Linked DNA regions of Rhinolophus ferrumequinum. The protein of the gene in region 2 interacts with the protein of the main gene of each other region in a biochemical or structural test. Links are inferred from orthologs where the notes say so. Each region holds a gene or a part of one and is shown on either strand. Other genes may lie near its edges.

What was found.
Region 1: of the proteins of SYK (region 2) and FLT3, one has a biochemical effect on the other in vitro, tested with the Homo sapiens proteins (2 studies listed by IntAct, with this or other methods). The link is inferred for Rhinolophus ferrumequinum from reciprocal best matches to the Homo sapiens genes SYK and FLT3.

Annotation. Positions count from the first base shown.
Region 1 is NC_046287.1:99,998,132-100,008,250, reverse strand, and holds the start of FLT3 (receptor-type tyrosine-protein kinase FLT3), read left to right. Parts: upstream 1-5,687; 5' UTR 5,688-5,889; coding exon 5,890-5,932; intron 5,933-10,119. UniProt on the Homo sapiens protein: Tyrosine-protein kinase that acts as a cell-surface receptor for the cytokine FLT3LG and regulates differentiation, proliferation and survival of hematopoietic progenitor cells and of dendritic cells.
Region 2 is NC_046295.1:3,381,508-3,391,531, reverse strand, and holds the start of SYK (tyrosine-protein kinase SYK), read left to right. Parts: upstream 1-5,548; 5' UTR 5,549-5,674; exon of another isoform or gene 5,675-5,881; intron 5,882-10,024. UniProt on the Homo sapiens protein: Non-receptor tyrosine kinase which mediates signal transduction downstream of a variety of transmembrane receptors including classical immunoreceptors like the B-cell receptor (BCR).

The DNA.
Region 1 (10,119 bases), on a different chromosome or scaffold from region 2:
CTAAAATTTGCAACCATAACTGAATATTAACTAAAATAAAAAGAGCTATAAAATGCCCAACAACATGGATTGGTTACATAAATTATGATTCATCCATATGATGGAATTTCTGATGAGTAAAAATAACTTTGTAGAAAAATCAACATGGACACTTGATTTTTTGAAAAGCAAGCTATAAAAGAGCATGTATAAGATGATCTCATTTTTTAAATACCAATTTAAATATCAATAGCATATATGTATATATATGCTATACATGTATATGTATACTGTATATACATACATGTATAGAGGAAAAACTAGATGGACCAACATCGAATTGCTAATAGTTACTATTTGGTACTTATAGTATTTGTGTATGACTGTGTACTTCCCAATTTTTTGTGCATTAAACATGTATACTTCAGCTAGAAAAGGAATATTCTTTTTAAAATAAGAAAAGAAAACGGAGGTAATGGTGTGTAAGTAGCAATGAATAGCTCGAAGAATGCCCACGTTCCTGGCTCCACCATCCATGGCATTGGAGGAAAATAAGTAGCATTTGAGAGGACTACGGAGAGGAGTTTCCTTGAGGTAAAGCCGGGGTTCTAAGGCTGAGGGCATGTTTTGTAGAAAATTGACCATACTTTCCATTGGGACCCTGCTATGGCTGGCACATGTGTCTATCAAAGCCCCTGTAACACTTTGATGCAAGTATTTGTTTATGTGACTATCAAGCCATATTAGATTATCCACCTCTTTGAACATAGGAATTATCTTCCTCACCTGTGTAACTCCAGTGCCTCCAGAAGCATTTAATAAGTGTTGGTTGGAGGGAATGAAAAATTATTCTTTATTACTTTTATTGCCTGTCCATTTCAAAAATGCTTGCTCTGAGTTGAAGACCCTTCACCGCACCCCGCAAAAAACCCCAACCTGCTCCAAAGTATCGTCTTACCAGCTTGCCACAGTGATTGAAATCCTCCCCACTGAAGTAACTTTTTAATTTAAAACACTGTCTCCAAAGACTATCCAAAGATTGTCTCTTGAACTCTATCCATCCCCAAATGGCAAAATGATCATGATTGATGGATACATGTATCGTTAGATTGTTCCCCATACTTTTGCATATGACAGAAAATTTCTATATTACAAAGTATTTTAGAAACCTGTGGGAAAATTAAACAAGTCATGCAACAAATATTTAATGACTAATGAGAGCATACTGTATGCTGGTCATTGTATTAAGGTCTAGGAATACAAGTGTGAGTACAAGTGAGGGGTGTGGGTGGGGTGTGGGTTGGAGTGGGACAAACATACTGTGCTACATATAGAAGTGAGAAACAAGAGGATCTACCTAACTCACAGTTGGGGTGGGGTGGGGAGACCGTAGAGTAGTCCCGGATGAATCTAGAAGGTGAATAAAAGTTAGACAGACTGGAAAGGGCAACAGAAATGGTGAGAAAGGGGAATGAGTCATTCCAGGCAAAAACAACATGGGAGTATCAAGACATGGAAACCAGGTAGAATGTAATGAGTTTGAAGTCCTAGTTCACTATGACTCCAACTTCGGGTTTATATGCAGAAATGGTAGGAATAAAAATAGGGTGCAAGTTAAGCTGTTGTTACAGAAAGACCCCAAGGTCCAGTGGATTGAACACGATCAAAATTTATTTCTCTCAAGTAGCAGTCACACATGGTCAATTTTGACTCCTCCCCTCAAACTCCCCACATTAAATTATTTTGAAGAAAACTCCAGACGGTACATCATTTTTAAGTTTTATTGAGATCTAATTGACATGCTCTGTAGTTCGCCTATTAATGTATAATTCTATGGTTTTTAGTTTATTTACAGAGTTGTGCATCTCTCGCTATAATCTAATTTTAGAACATTTTCATCATCCTCAAAAGAAGCCCTGTACTCATTAGTTATTCCCTATTCTCCCTTCAACCTTTCCATTTCATATAATTTTATCATATCTGTAAGTATTTCATATGCACACATAGAAAGATAGGAACTATTTAAAAAAATACATAATAATATCATTATCACGCATAAAAATGTCAGAGATAAAACCAGTAGTCATATTTTCCTGATTATTTTATAATTTATTTTCAGTTTGTTTGCTTAAATCAGGGTCCAAGAAAAACCCTTAATTGCACATTGCAATTGCTTTATCTATCTGTTAGGTTTCTTTTCATCTATCGGTCATCCCTCCAATGCTTGCTTTTTTTTCTTACAAATTTTTGTTGAAGAAACTAGATTATTTGTTCTATAAAGTCTCCTGGGGTCTGGAATTTTCTGATTGTATTATTATGTCATTGTTTAATCTACTCCACCGTCCTATGTAATTTCCTATAAATTGGCAGTTAGATCTGGGATCTTAATCAGATTCAAATATTGTTTGCTTGGATAAGACTACTTCAGTGGTGGAAGTGTTGTGTCAAACTTCCATTTAAATGTTCTTTTATTGTGAATACATCATACTCATAGCAGTATATAAAACTAATTGTAGTTTAAAGAATAATAATAAAGTGAACATCCAGACCCCATTGCAGAGGCTAAAAAACAAGAGTATTGCCATTTGCCTTAATAAAATCGACTTCTCTTTGCATCCCATTCTAGAGGTAAGAACTATCCTCACCTTTGTGATAATTATTCCTTCACTTTCTTTATGCCCCTTATGAGCATATTCCTAAAGAGAATTTGTTTGGTTCAACATTATGATTTTTGAGATTCATCCATGTTGTTTTGGGTAACTGTAGTACATTCATTTTCACTTGTATAGGATTTCATTCTATGAATATATTGCAGTTTATTCTTTAGCTAGTGGACATTTAAATTATCCCTGATTTTCTGATATTACAAACGGAAATGCTATGAACATTCTGGTACAGGTCTCCTGGTGCACATGAGTTTCTCTAAATAGATATAGAGATAAAGATAGAGATAGAGATACAGATGAGAAACCGATGGTGTAATGTGTGCACCTGCTCAATTTAAGTAAGTAATGTCAAATTATTTTCCAAAGTGCTTATAATCATTTAGATCCCCACTAGTAGTGGAAGTTACTCATTGCTCTGAATCCTTGTATACACTTGGAATTGTCAGATTTTGCCAATTGGTGGGTTCAAACTCTTTATTGATAAAAGATGTGTAAAATTGAACGATATAGTTGATATTTCAACTGAATTTACGGGAATCCTATTCAAATATTTCTTTTGCTTGTCCCTTATTTGCAGGAAAATATAAAGTTTTGGATTTAAAAATGACACTAAAGTATTTCACCTATAGGTTGCCCATGAAAATGTGTCACAATTGTTGAAGGGGGAGAGGGAGATATTTGTGTAATTTAAGGTTGGAAAGATGTTCTAAGATGAATGGCCACTTACTCACGGCTATGTAGCAGCTAAGCTTTATAGTGGTAAGAATCTAGATAAAATACTCATTTGTAGGGCTCATGCAAGACACCCCATTCAACCCAGAAACACACTTACTCTTCTCTCTTCCAGTTTCTTTTTTCGTCTTATTCCTCCTCGTTGCTTCTTAACCCTTTAGCGGCTTGTTTATAATAGGCTTCATATCATGAGTTCTGGAACCAACATTTTCCACTTGGGTGTGCATAACTGTTAATAGCTGTGCAATCTAGGGCTCTCGACAATATAAGGCTACCTTCCTAGAGTACTGTTGTGAGGTATAAATTAGGTATCATAATAGATATATGACTCTAGGTACACTTCAAGAATGATGGGTACTATCGCACCTTCTAAATGGCAGCCTATACCTCATACTCCAAAATTTTTCAGTCCACAAAATTTGCTCCACCAATTTCCAGGGAAAATCAGGTGCGTACAGAAGCCATTCCAAGTTTCTCCCCCTCTTACTACATCTTCTCATGGAGATTTCTGCCTTGCATCTAAGATTCTTTGAAAAAGCAGCAGTATCTTCATGATTTTGTGTCCTCAAACAGTGCCTCACCCAAGCTGTTCTTTCGCAAACTTGGAATCATCAGTTTTTTTAACGCTGGTAGTAACCAAGCTATAAATAAAAGGTAATGCATTCGATCTTGGCAACTGGAAGGCTCACTAGCCCACTTTTCTTCCCATTACCAGCCTGCTTCATTGCTTTTATTTCTTCATGCTTCTTAACTCATGCTTCTTCCTCTGGTTCTGTGTCTGACCTCAGATAGACACTTAAAATTTTTGTTTAAGTTTGAATTGTGATAAAATGCACATAACATAGAACTTACCATTGTAGCCATCTTTAAGTGTACAGCTCAGTGGTATTAATTATATTCACATACTGTTGTGCAACCAATCTCTAGAGCCTCTTTGTCTTGCAAAATTGAAGCTCTGTCCTCACTTAATAACCACTCTCTACTCCCTCTGCCTCCAACCCCTGGCAACCAAGCTTCTACTTTCTTTCTCTATGGATTTGACTACTCTAGGTACCTTATATAAGTAGAGTCATACGGTTTTTGTCTTTTTGTGCCTGGCTTAATTCACTTAGCACGTCCTCAAGGTTCCTCCATGTTGTAGTTTCCTCCCTGTTTAAGGCTGAATAATAGTCCATTGTATGGATATACTAATTTTTTTATCCATTTATCCAATTTTGTTTATCCATTTATCTTTGGATGGACATCTGGGTTGCCTGCACCTTTTGCCTATTGTGAATAATGTTGCTATGAATATAGGTTCACAAATATCTGTTTATGACCCTGCTTTCAGTACTTTTGGGTACATACGAGAATTAGTGTATCATATGGTAATTTTATTTTTAATTTTTTTGAGGAACTGCCATATTGCCACTACGGTGGCTGCATCATAGTAGACACTTTAAAGTTTCTGTCATGCCTGCGGGGTAGGGGAAGGTCTATTATTTTTCTATAGACTACAGTAGTGAAAAAGGGTTGTATGGCCGAGAGTGAACATTGTCAATTATCATGCTTTATTAGAAAATGATTAAAATAATTAAAAGCCTGGAAATCCTAGAATTTGGAGACACATTATAAACCATTGGATCCATTCCCCTCCTTTCCAGGTGATTAAAGTGGGACTCTGAGAAGGCAATGGCTTGTGAAGGTCAAAACGCTGCTTAACAAGAGTCAGAACTGGCATCCACAGCTTTCCAATCTTCAATTTATTGCAAATAAAATAAATTTCAACTTGAAATACTATGTAATGAAGAACAAGAACTACGGAGTGGATAATTCAAAACATCCTCTGGGATGCACTGTCAGTGTTTTGCTTTTGTTTCTATGGCAGGTTCTAGCCCCCGAATTGCCTGGGTTGACATTGAAACAGCCTGTTTTTCTTGCTGCCACTGCTGGCTGGGTCCTGGGCATCCTAGGAGACGGAGGGGGAGACAAAGGAAACCAGCGGGCAGTCAGGATTCACCGAGCGCGGAACGCGACCCTCTGCTGGCCTGCGCGCTGGCCAGAGCCGCGGGTGGAGCGCGGTTTATCTCCCATCCTGGGGCCTCAAAGACCTGTCCCCGTGCTCCAGGATCCAAACGAGAACGTTCAGGGACTCGCGGGGTAAGGCCGGTCTTGCCGTGCCTCCTCCCCACCCGGAGCGGCAGAGCCCTTGCTACTGCCCGGGCGAAACGATGCCCAATCCCCGCCGCCACCGCCGGGGAGCCCCGGGAGCGCGGAACGCGGGCTGCGGACACGGCGGGCACGTGGGCTCGGCCGAAGAGCTGCGCCGGCTCTGCCCAACCTCTGCTCGCCTGCCTCGGCCCCTGCGGGTGGGGAGAGGGATCCTCCCCCCTTCCACTTTGCACCAGTCCGAGGGAATTTGCGGTCGGTGACGCGCATCCTTAAGCGAGCCACCTGCAGCGCGGGGCGCGCCGCTCTGGGCGGCATCGCAGGCTGGGCCGGCGCGGCCTGGGGACCCCGGGCTCCGGAGGCCATGCCGGCGTTGACGCGCCGCGGCGGCCGGCTGCCGCTGCTCGGTAAGACCCTGCCCGCCCGCTCGTGGCCCCCATAGCCCCCGGCGCGGCCTCAGCCGCCAGCCCGCACGGTGGCCTGGCGCGCGCCTCCAGGTCCCCACCGCTGCGTTCCTCCCCGCGCCCGCGCCCCTCCCCTATGTTGCGCCCTCCCGACTCGCCCTCAACTGGCTCGCGGCCCCCGTCCTGCCCACCCCATATCCTCCTGCCTCTTCTCTAAAGTCGCTGCCCGGCTCGGGTCGCGTCCGGATCTGCGGCCCGGACTCCGCGGGCGGCCTCGCCGAGGCGCTGCCCCGGGCCGGGGCCGCTCCGCCGCCTGCGCTCCCGCTCGGTTCGGGTGCTGGGCCATCCGCCAGCGTCTGGGACCCCCAGGCTGGCGCCGGTTGGCTCGGGACCTCGCCAGGACCGACCCTGGATATCGTAGGCTCCCGGGTGGCGTCTTTCAGCTCTTCTTTTGGGGTTTTTATGTGTGGAGTGAACTCTGATTGGAAAATTCGCCCGCGTTTTCCCGAAGAGACTCATTCGTAATAACGACCCCTACCCACGCCAAGTTTCGGTTGGGTCAACGAGTAGTGACTTTGGAAATGTTATGCAAAGAGGATTTGCATATTAAAATACTAGCTGCCCCTTCCTCCTCTACTGGATTTTTATCCTGGCATTAAACCCCAAGGGAGTTTTCAAGGACTCAGGTGACGGTTCCCAAATAATCTGCTGGGTAGCATAGTGATTACTACTAAATAAATAAATAAATAAATAAATAAACAAATAAATAAATAACCCTTTCTAAAAGATCCACTCCATCCGTTTGGAAAGATGAGATGGTTGACTCTGGAGTTTGGGATGAAGGAGACAGAGTTCTGGGAGACCGAGAGCCTCGGGTCCCTTATTCTCCTTCTACAGTCTTGGAAGCGGCACCCACAGCTCCCACATTCTAGGGTTCTAACTTAAGGTCTCTGTGGTAAAGAGAGAAAAGATTTCCGATATAGACGTGCAGGAAGTATGTCCAAAGCTGTTGTTACACATCATTCAGAATTACAGAGTAAGAAACGTAACATAAGGAGGAAAGAAGTGGGAAAACAGACAGTTTGCATTTCTGAAACAGATTTACTAGTTGGTAAATAGGTACATTTCAAATGCATAGTACAATATGTTTTTCAGTCTATGAATAAAAAGAGTTAACTTTCTGTTAGGTATGACACCGATAAGTGAGTTTTTCGGTGGCACACAAAGGCTTTGGAAAAGTAAAGATCAGTATTTGCAACTATATTTAAGCTGCATTGAATTCTTTATTTAGGAATGAGCCCCCAGATTTTGACATCTCTCTCCAGATTTTTGTAAATGAGGTATAATTTGCATATAGCAAATATGCACAAATCTTAACAGTGCAACTTCATTAGTTTTTACATACAGGTATGTATGTACCCACATAATCACTGTTGGACCAAGTTTTGAGCAAGTCTAGCTCCGCCCTGTTTCAGTCAGTACCCTGCAAACGTAGCCACTATTTCGACTTCTTATACCATTGGTTTGCCTGTTTTTGAACTTCATGTAAACCAGACCACCATGATATACTCTTTTATGTCCAGATTCTTTCACTCAATATTGTGATTAGGAGATTCAACCTTGTTCTCAGCAGCAGTGGTAATTTTTTTAATTGCTGGGTACTAGTCCTTAATATGAATATACTATACAACTTATCCATTCTCTTGTTGAACATGTAAGTTATTTTCAGTTTTGTGTAATATGAATAATAGTGCTGTGAACATTCTTTGGCACATTTTTTGGTGGACATGAACTCCCATTTCTCCTAGGATGATACCCACGAGTATTATAGGGGAAGGTGTATATTCAGTTTTGTTGGACTCTGTCCAACAGTTTTTCATAGTGGTCGTACCAGTTTACATTCCCACTGGCAGTATATGGGGGTTTCCAGTCCCTCGCATCACTGCCAACACCCAGTAGTACAGATTTTTTTTAATAAAGAAACACAAAATGAGGAGCTTAAAAGTGAGGGCTTTAAAACGTGTAAAAGCTTTGTCTAACCACAATGCTGTACACCCAAAAGTAATATAAAACATTATTGAATAGCAACCATAATGGAAAAATTTAAAAATGTCTAAAAGCTCTAAATTCCTGAAAGTATAATATTCGATCCCCATTTCCCTGATATTGTAAGCTCTACCTTTCATGAATAATGAATGCTGAGTCTTTCTAAGAAGTATGTACAGAAATGTACTGGCCATGGCCTTCACTGCATTGTGTGCTGGTGCTGGATAAGAAAGGGGAGGACTTCAAGATTTCAGTAAATATGATATACGACCTCTTTCACTAGGGTCAGAAAATTCATATTTAGAGACTTGAATTGCACATTTTGGTTGCTATCCGTTGTCCTAGTTGCTTATCTTACTTTATTGGCTTCCTTGTAAACTGCCAGCCTGAGGGGTGGGGAGTGTGATTCAGGAGGAGGAGGAGGGAAGGGATGCCAGGCAAAGACTGGTTTGGATTGGATAAGACACCAGGCCTGGTGAACTGATGTTAAAAGTCCTTTGCATCGGGGCCATCATACAAGTTTAGATTGGCTATTCATTTCTTCCCAGGTACTTCACATCATCCTCTTAGGTTTAATTGTGAACTACTTACCTTCCATTAAAGAATGGCTCTCCTTTTTATAACTAGAAAGACATGTTCAGTAACCCTTATGTATCAGTAAAGATTTTTGTTGTTGTTGAATTCTCCTATTGTTTAACTGAAAAACAGCCAGGTAATAAGATATTAAATGGGGAGAAGGACCACTTACTTATATTCCAGATAAGACTTCAGACAAGAAAGATGATGCGGAAGCATGCATGAGAAAGACTGAAATTTTTCTTGGATAAACTTTAATTGGATACCTATTTTTCTGTGCTAGACACAAGAGGTAGAAAGACAAAAGAGATGGGGATGAGGGAACTTACATAGAAATAGTGAATTCCATTCTATTTAAGAAATGCATGGATGTTGCCTTTCCTCAGGAAAAGCATTTGAGCACAAAGCTTGCTTTCAATTAATTCAACCTTCCAAAACAGTTCTTGTGGTCACTAAATATCCATAGGAGAAAAATAGCATGCTTCAATGAAGGAGCTTCAACCAGGATTTTTGTCTGCTAAAACTACTTCAACATGGCTGCCCTGTATTTAATGGTTGTGGGAAAGAAACTGCTCTTCCATTTTGAATAAAACAATTGGACAGCTCCAGAGTTCGATATGACCATCTTTTGGGTTTTGGGGAGGAAGTAATTGTCTACATGGTTCTTTGAACAAGTTTGTTGACTACATTTTACTCCCAAAAAAGTGTTTCTGCTCACTTGAGAAGCCCCCGCGATGGCTCAGCCTTACCACTTTCTCTATAGTTCATGTTCCTCTCATCTTGTCATTTTCTAATGAAACCCAGAGAGCAGTGTGACGAAAGCCCTTACATGCAATGTTCAAGATTACAATCTTGCTGACTCCTCAAATACCCACCAGATATTGCCTTAATCTTTGGGTAAAGATTCTGATTTGAGAAAAAGCAAATCATCTCAAAAGTATTGTAGTTTAGCATTTTTCTTGATGTTGAAAGGGATCTTGAAGAAAACCAGAGTAAGAATTTGGAGTGGGGAAATGGAGGGGCTGAAACCAGCTTCGTCTGTTTTATAACTGCTCAGCTTGGTCTTGCCACTCACTATGCTGCATCCTTCATTCGCTCTGAAAGAGCAAACTCTTGAGAACCTCACAGTATGCGGTGTGTCTGAGTAGAGCTTTTTGCTTTTCATCAGTTGGCTTCGTGATCTTAAGATTTTTATCCTGACTTCCAGAAAAGCTTTCGCCACTTCTCAGTTAAGTAGCCATAGTTATGTGGCCGAATGTTTTTCTGTCTTTTGGGGGTCTGTGAGCTCTACACTTATGTGATTTCATTACCTTTGATAGATATCTTCTATAGCTGTATCATCAGTGGTCCTCAAAGGATGAAAACTTTTGTTGTACTTGCTTGATGGTTGTTAACTTGAATCATGCAATTCTGTTCTATGGGTACCAACATATGTGGAGGAAATTTAAAAATAATATAAAGTACACACACACACACACACTGTTCCTTTGTGGCTAGAGGAATTGCATAAGACCCTAAAAGAGGAACTATTGTTATTTTTTAGGTTAAACAGTACAAATAGTTTTTCA
Region 2 (10,024 bases):
CAGATACATAGATCATGAGAATGGAATTTAGAGCCCAGAAATAACTCTTGCATTGATCTTCAACAAGGGTGGCAAGACAATTAATTGTGAACAGAATATACTTGACCCTTGAACAACATGGGTTTGAACAGCACAGGTTCACTTATAGGCTGATTTTTTTCAATAAATACATACAGTACTGTAAACGTATTTTCTTTTCCTTATGAATTTCTTAATAACATTTTCGCTAGCTCATTTAAGTGTAAGAATATAGTATATAATATAAAATATGTGTTAATCGACTGTTTACATTATTGGTAAGGCTTCCAGTCAACAGTAGGCTATTAGTAGTTACATTTTTGAGGAGTCAAAAGTTATATGCAGATTTTTGATTGTGAGAGGGTTTGGCGTCCTTAACACCTGCATTGTACAAAGGTCAACTTAGTTGTTTCGATAACTACTGTTGTGCTGGGACAACTAGATATGTGCATGCACAAAACTGAAGTTGGGCTTCTGTCCTAAACTGTACCCCAAAGTTAATTAAAAATGGATCTGAGACATTAATGTAAAAGCTAAAACTATAAAACTAGAGAAACACATAGGAGTAAATCTTCTCGACCTTGGGTTAGGCAATGATTTCTTAGATATAATACAAAAACACAAGCAACAAAAGAAAAACTAAATTTACCTTCATAAAAATTAAAAAAAAAAAATTTGTCCTGCAAATGATACAATGAAGAAAAAGAGAACCTTCAAAATAGGAGAATACTATATATCTAATGAGGAACTTGTATCCAAAATATGTAAAAAATTCTTACAACTCAATAATAAAAAATGAGTCAATTGCATATAACCTATATTTTCATACCATTTCATTTGTGTGGATTCAGTGTAGTTCTTGGGTGAGGCAAATTCAAGTTTTGCTTTCTGGAACTTTCTGTGATTTTTTCCCCCCAATATTTTTGCTACTTGGTTGGTTGAACCTTCAGATACTGAGGGCCAGCTGTAATTATATTTTTAAAAAGTAAACTGCTAGACAAATACATGGCTGCCTGTTGTGGTATGTGAAGGAGTTATTTTTGAGCATATTTTTCCATCCTTTTTAATCTCCGGGTATAGGATCATGTCTGGCAATAAAGATACACAATACAATGTTACCTCGGTTTTCGAATGTAATCCGTTCCGGAAGACAGTTCGAGTTCTGAAACGTTCGAAAACAGCCAACAGCAAGGCCTCAGGATCTTGCACTCAGCGGAAGCTGCGTGACATGTTCCACTTCCGAGGCGTGTTCCAAAGCCGAAGGATTTACTTCTGGGTTTACGGTGTTTGTAAACCGAAGTGTTCGTCAACGGAGACGTTTGAAAACCGAGGTACTGCTGTAATTGTTTGCCAACTTGAATTTCACAGAAAATAAGAAATCAGAGGTATGCAGAGGAGGCTTGACTTCCTCAGAGCTACACGCCCAGGAAAGGGGCAGCCTTGGGAAGATAGCCCGTGCTTTTGACCCTGGCCAGAGTTCTCACCAGTGGGCTGTCACGTGTGGCCTAAGTTCAAATGCTATCCTTAGTCCTTAAGTAACTTTTTTATTTCTTGTTCAAAACCTCATTGACAACAGAAAAAGAAGGAAGTCCACCATTTGTAGGTGAAAGGTCCCTTTTTAATCAGGGTTGAGCTGGTGAGGGAGCTGAGCAGCAGAAGGAGGCTGTTCCTCTGGTGACATTCTGTGGCATTTTGGCAGATAGATGTGCCCAGGTGGTGGGCATCACGGAGATTCAGCGATGCTGGTCTAGCAAAAATAACTTGCCTTCTTAAGACAAGATAGGGTTAAATAACTACATTTTGTAAAGGTACACCTACATTTTAAAATTGTTAAAATGGTGAATTTTGTGTGTGTGACTTTTATCTCAACTTAAAATTATTTGTATAAAAGTACACCTAATGCTGTCCTCATTCTGGAACTTTCTCCCTTTTTTGCCAATCAAATTTTACCATTTCAATAGTTGGAGTTGAGTATTCTTTTATTTGCAACCTAAAGCATCCTAACACATGTCATGTGTAACTCACGTATTTTTAATTTGAAAGAGTTAAATATGAGGACCTTGCATTCTAAATATTAAAATGTACAATGTACGGATATATTCTACAGTAAAAAAAAAATGTCTGGCATTAAATTCTGGATAAAAGTAATGAAATATTCATGGAGTTTCAAGGTCCCACTATCTAGAAACAAAAAGATTCCCTCCCTCTCTGCCACCCAAGCAAAAACGGAAGAGAAAACAAAAATGTAAAAGTCACCGGTAGTAACCAAACAAGAAAAGGAGAAGGGCTTAATGAGATGGACTTCAGAAAATGCTCGCTCATATAGAAAACAGAAGTTTGAGAGGAGCAGGGTGAGGTCATGCTCCCACCTCCCAGAAACCATAACTGGTGTGTCTACAAAATCTTGACAATTCTCATTCAAATCTTGATAGAAGAAAGAGGAGTGATAATTTATTCTTAGCTTTCCCCATTTTTGACTCTGAGGTAGTGAAAATGTCTGCAGTGGAGATTAGAGAAAAAAGAGAAATGTCAGCTTTCTGTATGACTGTCAGAAGTCTGAGGGCTCCAGGGACCCACATTAACTGGGGGACGGAGCTGATGCTCAAAGTTGCCCCCAAAAGAGTGGGGTAAGCTCTTCCCTCTCCATCTCCCAATGAAGAGTGAACCCTCCTGCCTTCAACCCATTCTCATGCAGGAGGGAGGACCCAGTTATAGCAACGCAACTCCATAACCAATGCCCAAAGGTTATAGAAAATCAGGCATAAAGGGACTAATAAACCCTAAAAGTGACTCCCAGAACGAAGAAAGAATCAATGATTCTTTGATCCTGATGTAAGGATCAAGGAGCTGTCACCCACAGAGGAGTAAACAGAAGGCCTGGAGAAGCTAGCAAGTGTGGGCAAGTAAAACACCCGACTAGTAACTATGCTCAAAGGATAAAGAATCAGAATGAATAGACAAAGGAAAAAGACTCAGAATGGTTTGGATTTCTCAACAGCAACACTGCAAACAAGAAAACAATGGAATAATGGCTTAAAATTGTGAGGAAAAGTAATTTCTGAACTAGAATTCTATACAATCATGCAGGATGGAAGAGCACATCCAAACCATCAATCACAGTTGACGATAGAACCTTTTTGGATATGGGAGGTCTTTAAACTATCTACAGTAGTACTCGGTTTTCGAACGTCTCCATTGACGAACATTTTGGTTTATGAATGCCGTAAACCTGGAAGTAAATGCTTCTGTTTTCGAACACGCCTCAGAAGTTGAACATGTCACGTGGCTTCCGCTAAGTGCAAGATCCTGAGGCCTCGCAGTAGGCTGTTTTCGAACGTTTCAGAACTCGTGGATTACAGTCGAAAACCGAGGTACCACTGTACTTCCATTTGTCAGGAAACTCCTGGAGATTGTGATCCACCAAAATGACAGAGTAAACTAAGGAAGAGAAAGGAATACAAGAAACAACATGGAATACAAGAAACAACTCCAAAATAAAAGTGAAAGGAAGCACAGAACAGAAACAGAAGAAATGCATCCTTGAGAAACTGTAACTACAAATTGACCAAAATTGTGCCCAAATTTCCAGCCCAAATTCATATCACTTTGGTGATCCAAAAAAAAAAGAAAAAAAGAAAAAAATGTAACCTGAGAACTTTTCTTAAATTATCCAAATACTAGTTAAACCCTAGGTTTCGCACAGAAGCAAAGAAAAATTCTCTCTGAAAGAAAATACCTTCTTCCCAGGCCTCAACTAATTTCCACAAATATTTCAGGGACAACAAGTGGCCAAGTACACAGTCTAACGTGACCAAGTACACAGTAAGGCAGGCACCGTGAACAAGAACCACAGAAACACTCAGACAACACAAGCAGATAGATATGCGAGACTTCAGGTGGTGGAAATAACACAACAAAACTGGGGGAAAAACATTGACTATTTTTAAAGAAATAAAAATAATAATCTGCAGGGAACAGGAGACTTTAAAAAGTGACTGTGTGTAGTGTCCCTGAGATCATCCTGGTGCGCATTTTGCTAGAAGGGCTTCCAGGACTCAGCATACAATCACAGCGAAGACTGATCACAGTGAAAAGATAAAAAGCACTCAGCACATGGGGGGAAAGAAGAAAGGCTGGGAGAAATGTGTTGAGTTTCAGGAAGATTTTTTCTATTCATAGATATTTGTGTGATAATTTTAACATTAAAAAATCATTACAAGCATACTAATTAACTTTTTAAAGATGACTCAAAGGTGGGAAGGACCCAGTACTACAGGGAGGCAGGCAGATGGATCTAGAACATCACCTACCTCACCGCCATTAGCGGCCCCTAAGGAAACATGTAATTTCAGTAAACGCAAGGCAGGACCCCTACTTTTCAGCAATATCGCCGACTCTACTTTTCAGCAACATCGCCGACTCTAAAAACCTCCTGCAGCCTCCAGTCTTTTAGAGAACAACTGCTATTTCACTGGCTCTTTGAAGCAAAAACAAGTCCAGTGGTTAACAAATATAATCATAATAAAAACCCTTCCTTGGGTTAAAAATTAAATGGAAAAATGACTGGAAGAGAATGCCCAAGTGGAAAGTCTGAGGGGCTCCAATCTAATGTAAACACTTCCTATCGCCTTATTCTTCTCCATGTCAATTATAATCTAACACACTATTTTGTATTGGTCATTGTGTTTTGGCTCAGGGTACAGGTTTTCAAAACAGTGTTACCAAAAATGTGAGGGTCTGGAAACTTTCAGGGGAACGGACATTTCAAAGAGGGCTGTCCAACAGAAAAAGAAAAAAATGCGGAGAGAGGATGGGGAAGGGGAACCAGGTAGGTGTTTTAAAACCATTTTAAGGACTACAGAGAAGGGTTAAACTTATTAATAATTTATTTAGCTCCAGACTGCAGACCGCGGTAGGTATTACAGAAGGAAGCAAGTCAAACTCACTGTCAAGAACTTGGTAGCAATTAAAGCCATCAGAAAACTGGCTGTGTTGGGCAAGCTGGGCCCACCCAAAGGTGCGCCTGAAGTCTGGCGTTCATCTCAGGCAGGTCACCTGGCGGGATTCCAGGGCCTCCTGGTCACCGGTCAGCAGGGGTGTCTCGGGTTGATGACTGGGAATGCACCGCACAAGGAAAAAGGTTCTCTTCCTGAGGAATTGCACGGGGAAATGGGGGTGCCCCTAACAGCCTGTCGTCCTTAAAAAAGGCGACAGGGGGAGAGGTTCTCGTTGTTGGCAGTGCCCCGCATGGTATATGACGGCCCCTGTCCCGGGCTTCTGTGCCCGGGAGACGGGTGGAACGGTCACCCGGCCGCTCTCCTCCTCCCCTCCGGCCTCCCAGGTCGACCTCGCCGCCGGGTACCCGCGCGCTCTGGCCGCCGCTGCCCTGCCCTGGGTTCTCGGGGCGCCTTTGGCGCTGGGGGCACAGGCAGCTGTGGGGGCGCACGGGGCGCTGGGGAGGCGGCCGGGAGGAAGTGTGGGGCCTGCCCGGGCGCGTTAAGGAAGTTGCCCAAAATGAGGAAGCGCCGCGCGCTGGGCGGGTGAGGCGACTCCGCGGCCGGCGCCGCTCCTCTCCCATCCTCCCGACGCCCCGGCCCCGCGCCCGGCGCCCCGCACGGCGACCCCACGCCGCCCCGCCCTCGCCTTACCTGCGCAGGTAGGTGTGGCGCGCGCTCCTTCCGCTCGGCCCGCGGGACCGCGGAGCCCCGGCGCTTTGGGGCCGGGAAGGCGGCGAGCAGGGAGCGCGGCCCTGCGCCTCCTTGGCCGCTTTCTGGGTGTCCGGGCTCAGCCGGGCAGGGACGCTCGGGGCCTTCGGCCTTTGAAAAAGGAGGGGAAATTGATGACATCGTTCGAATAGAAGCAGGTAGGTGGTGCCAGCTTTTCTCCTAAACCCAGAGCCTCACGGGGTCCGACTCCTGTACTAGGTGCCAGGCCTGGGCCCGGGGGTCAGTGCGGGGGTCCCCGGACCCCAGGTGCCCTGGCAGCGCCCACAGTGTCCCGACAGGGTCCTGGGAAGCAGGAGCTGGAGTCCGCCGGCACGGGGAACTCCAAAATAAGAAATTTTCGTTCGTCCATTTACATGAATGCCCTGGAAAATTCCACTGTATTTATCGAAGTGACTCAATGTACAAATGTTCGTGTGCCTGCAGAGGTTTTATATACACTACATTTCGTGTACTACAGAAAGAAAGAGCAGTTGCATCGACACATGAAACTTTCTTAACTACTACCAAAATTTTGCATGATTGCTCCTTTTACGACACGTTTTCGTGGTAAAGTAACTTAATTAGCCAATGAATGACTTGGAGCGCAGGGTAGTTTTATGCAGTAAAATGTAAATTTTAAGTGTTGTTTGTTTTTTTGTTTGTTTGTTTTTTTGTCAATATGGTTTAAAATATTAAACCCACCTAAATAACTGTACAAAGACAATTCTTTTTTTCGTTTGTCTGAATGTTGAAGTATTAGAAAGGCTTCGTTGGAGAAATTAGAGTTTAAATCGTTCTAAGTTGGAAACAGTGTTGCAGATTACTTGAATGAGTTTGCCTGACTCCCCAAAGATTTCATTGAACCCAAGTAGAACTGTTACTGGAGGAATTGGTCTTTCTCTTAAACCCTCGGAACATTTCAGCGTGTAGTTGAAAGAGTTGGAGTTGTCCCACATTTGAATCTTCGTACTAAATAATAATAATAATAAATAAATAATAATTGTGATAATGGAGAATTTCCAGAAGAAATGGAATTGACTCTAGTATCTGATTTCTTTGTTTTAGTAAGGACAAATTCATTGCTATTTCACAGGCAGGATTTCAATTAAAGGCAATTAAATTCATTAATGCCCCTCCCTGCCAAAAGTCTGGATGGTGCATAGATATATGTATTTGTATTTGAGCTAAATGATTAAAATACTTGTAAAGTGTTAGGTGTTTTAAGTGAGAAATCTTGTCAGTTAAAATGATTTTATCAAATCATTTTGTTCTATCTACATCATATGTGTGATGTGTTTAGAGTTTTGCAATAAAATAGAAATTGATTTGTATTCTCTATGTCTGTAATGCTTAGATATGTAGGATTATGTAGTCTTAACTAGAATTGTTTTTAATGTTTTAAGCCATGATGAAAATGAGGTGTGTACTTTAGGTCCTTACCTTTCCTGGGGGATGAAATTGGCTGGAAGATCATTTAATTGGTAGGTTTACACTTCAGAAATAGCTCACTTTAGCTTTCCTTCAGCTCATGTTTAATATTCTGAGAGCAGGTCTGATTTCTCTGTTTTTAACCCAGACTTCTTAGTAGGACACCACTTAGGCAGCACACTGCATGTTCGTGATCGTTTAAAACCCTTGTGCTCAGATAGGTTTTGGAATGCAGGATTTTTCACAGTTTAGAATTCAAAGTTAGAATTTTAGCATTGAGAAAGACATTTCTCAGAATTTAGACAGGTATGTATGCACACTGACACCGTATGGTGGGTACCACTCCGATACAGCCTCCTGTAATGGCACACGTTAATGTTTGTGCATTGACACTGTGAACAGCCTCAGTATGTGGAATAAATAAAGACTGTAATTAGCTGTGCGTCAGTTTAGGGCAGGCATTGTCCCTAAATGAGAGTCCCTAAAACTTACCAAAGAAACCTGTTTTTCAGAGCATTTTGGAGTTCGACTAAAGGACTGAGTCTGTGTGAGACTCCATCAAGCTACTGTTTTGCTTTTGAAAACACATTGCTTTTCTATTGCCCAATAACTCACACTTTTCAGTAATTAGATAGGCAATTCCCTTCTTGTCAGGGAGTCTGAAATAGCATAACTTCACTGAATTTTCAGTGATAACCATCAAAATGTAAATCCTGCAAGTAAGAATAGGATGTTTCATCCTTACTGATGTACTTTCAAACAGCAGATTTTCTGACAGTCTAGGATTGTAGAGCAAGAACACAGTGGTTACTCAAGGAAAGGGTACTATCACCATTTCCAACTGCAGTATGTGCTTGGAAGAAATGTCTCCTGTTCACTGTGCAGCTGGCTCTGTCGTCTGTGCCTAAGGAATGGCAGGACACTCCAATCTGACCTCATTTTTGCTGAGAAAGCTTTCACTGTAACAGATTTTTTCCAACTAACTCATCTTCTCTCCCCTGCCCCTCGTTTGCAAGTTTTAACATTTTCTTCCACTTCTGGATTGGTTTAGCTATAAATGAGTGGAGAAAAAATTAGGAATTTAGGCGTTTGGGGAGAATTTTTAAAAATGTCTGCATACTGAACTTTTTTTTTCTTTAAAAGCAATTAAAATCAAAAGGCAGAATCTTAAAGAGAGATTGGAATTAAATTGCCTGATTTAATTATGTCCTATCATCTTACTCTTCTACTTTGATTTGAACAGGTTTGTTCCTTTTCACGTGGAAAAGAGTTTAAAAAAATTTTTTAACTGAGGAATTGTGGGAAAATTTTTAAAAAATAGGCTAAATTTTAAAGGAAAAAAAATCATCCATTTTGACACTATATTACCAGGGAAATTTTCTATTAGCGTATAAGTTTGTCTGACAAAGTTATTTTGCATCATTTTGACTTTTTTTTTTGCCCTTAAGAATTAATTATGTAAGTTTTGCCATGTGACTCTTGAAAGGTGATTGAATTGGAATCTTAAGTATAATCAGATTTAGTCAAGGCCATAGATACCAATAGAAAAAAGAACATTTAGTATGTGTTACAGTAGATTTAATAAATCAAAATTGACTCCCTCTTGATTCTTTTATTCTTGGAAAAACCATGTGTTTATTTCTGGAGGCCACCAAAGGCTGGCGATGAGAGGAGGAAGAAGATAGGACTGATTTAGAGTACTGGTGACGCCACGGTGACCATGGAGGGTGTACTGAAAGCTTGTGTGATGGGCAGTGCCTGGTGAGCACCGTGCTCTCTTCTGGGGTAGCTAGCTAGCTCTGACACTGGAGTCCTTGCTTCTGAAGCTGGTGGCAGTACCCCTCGCTGCTGTGCTGGAGCACTAGAGGGGAGTACGGACGCAGGAGCGTGCTGGCCTTCCAGACTGGCATGCTGAGTGTGAGAAGTATGGTACGAGGCAGCTGAGCAGGCAGCAGGCCCTACGGGGAATGCAGGCTGGTGTGAGGGTAAGTGAGGCCCAGGACTGGCTGGGTCAATGGAGGAGCCCCTTAGGGCAGCAGCGTTTCAGGAAAAGCCACAGTTTAAGTATTGGTTTGTTTTGTTATACTCTGCATGGCATTTGATGTCCAACACAGCACATTCTGTTTGTCTTAATTGATAAATCTTCATTCTGTCTTGGCCAGTCTGATAATTTATTAAATCTATCCATTTCTATTGAGTTGTCATGGAAATGTTATGGTGTGACCAGAGTTCATTTTTCTTTTTTAAAATTTTAATTTGTGACAATACTTTCCCATCCGCTACTACTGCTCCCTAAAAGCAACCATTTTATATTTTTATTGCTATTTTTTCTAGAATTCTCTCCCTTTAGTTTCTTATTATGTGCTCATTTGCTTACGTTTTGGGTGATCACATTTAGACAGTGCCTGCTGACTTCTTACTCTGAGAAACGAGCACTCGGCCATCCTATATGCCCCACCACCCAGGATAATCGTCCTAGAATTTGGGGTTAAGGTGCTATTTGGTGTTTACTTCATTGTCATGATGTTTACTGCTAAAGGAAGGTGTATAATACAGTTTCATTTTCTTTCTCGGACCCCTTGCTGCTCTTCCTGGGGTAAACTCTCGTTCTGGTTTGGGGTTTTTTCATTGGGCTCTGTGCCTATTACAATTTTCTCCCCGACTCTCTGACACTAAGCTAAAACCCTTATTGACTCAGTTTCCCACTGAGTCAAACATACCACGCAATCTATCGGTTCCACTTTTCTTTCTTTGTTTCTGGAACCTTCTGTCTTCTTGCTCCAGTCTGACAATTTCTCTTCTGTCTTGCTACACAGATACTAATAGCTGAAACATATTTTTGGGAATTGGTTAACTACATACATTTCCGACAA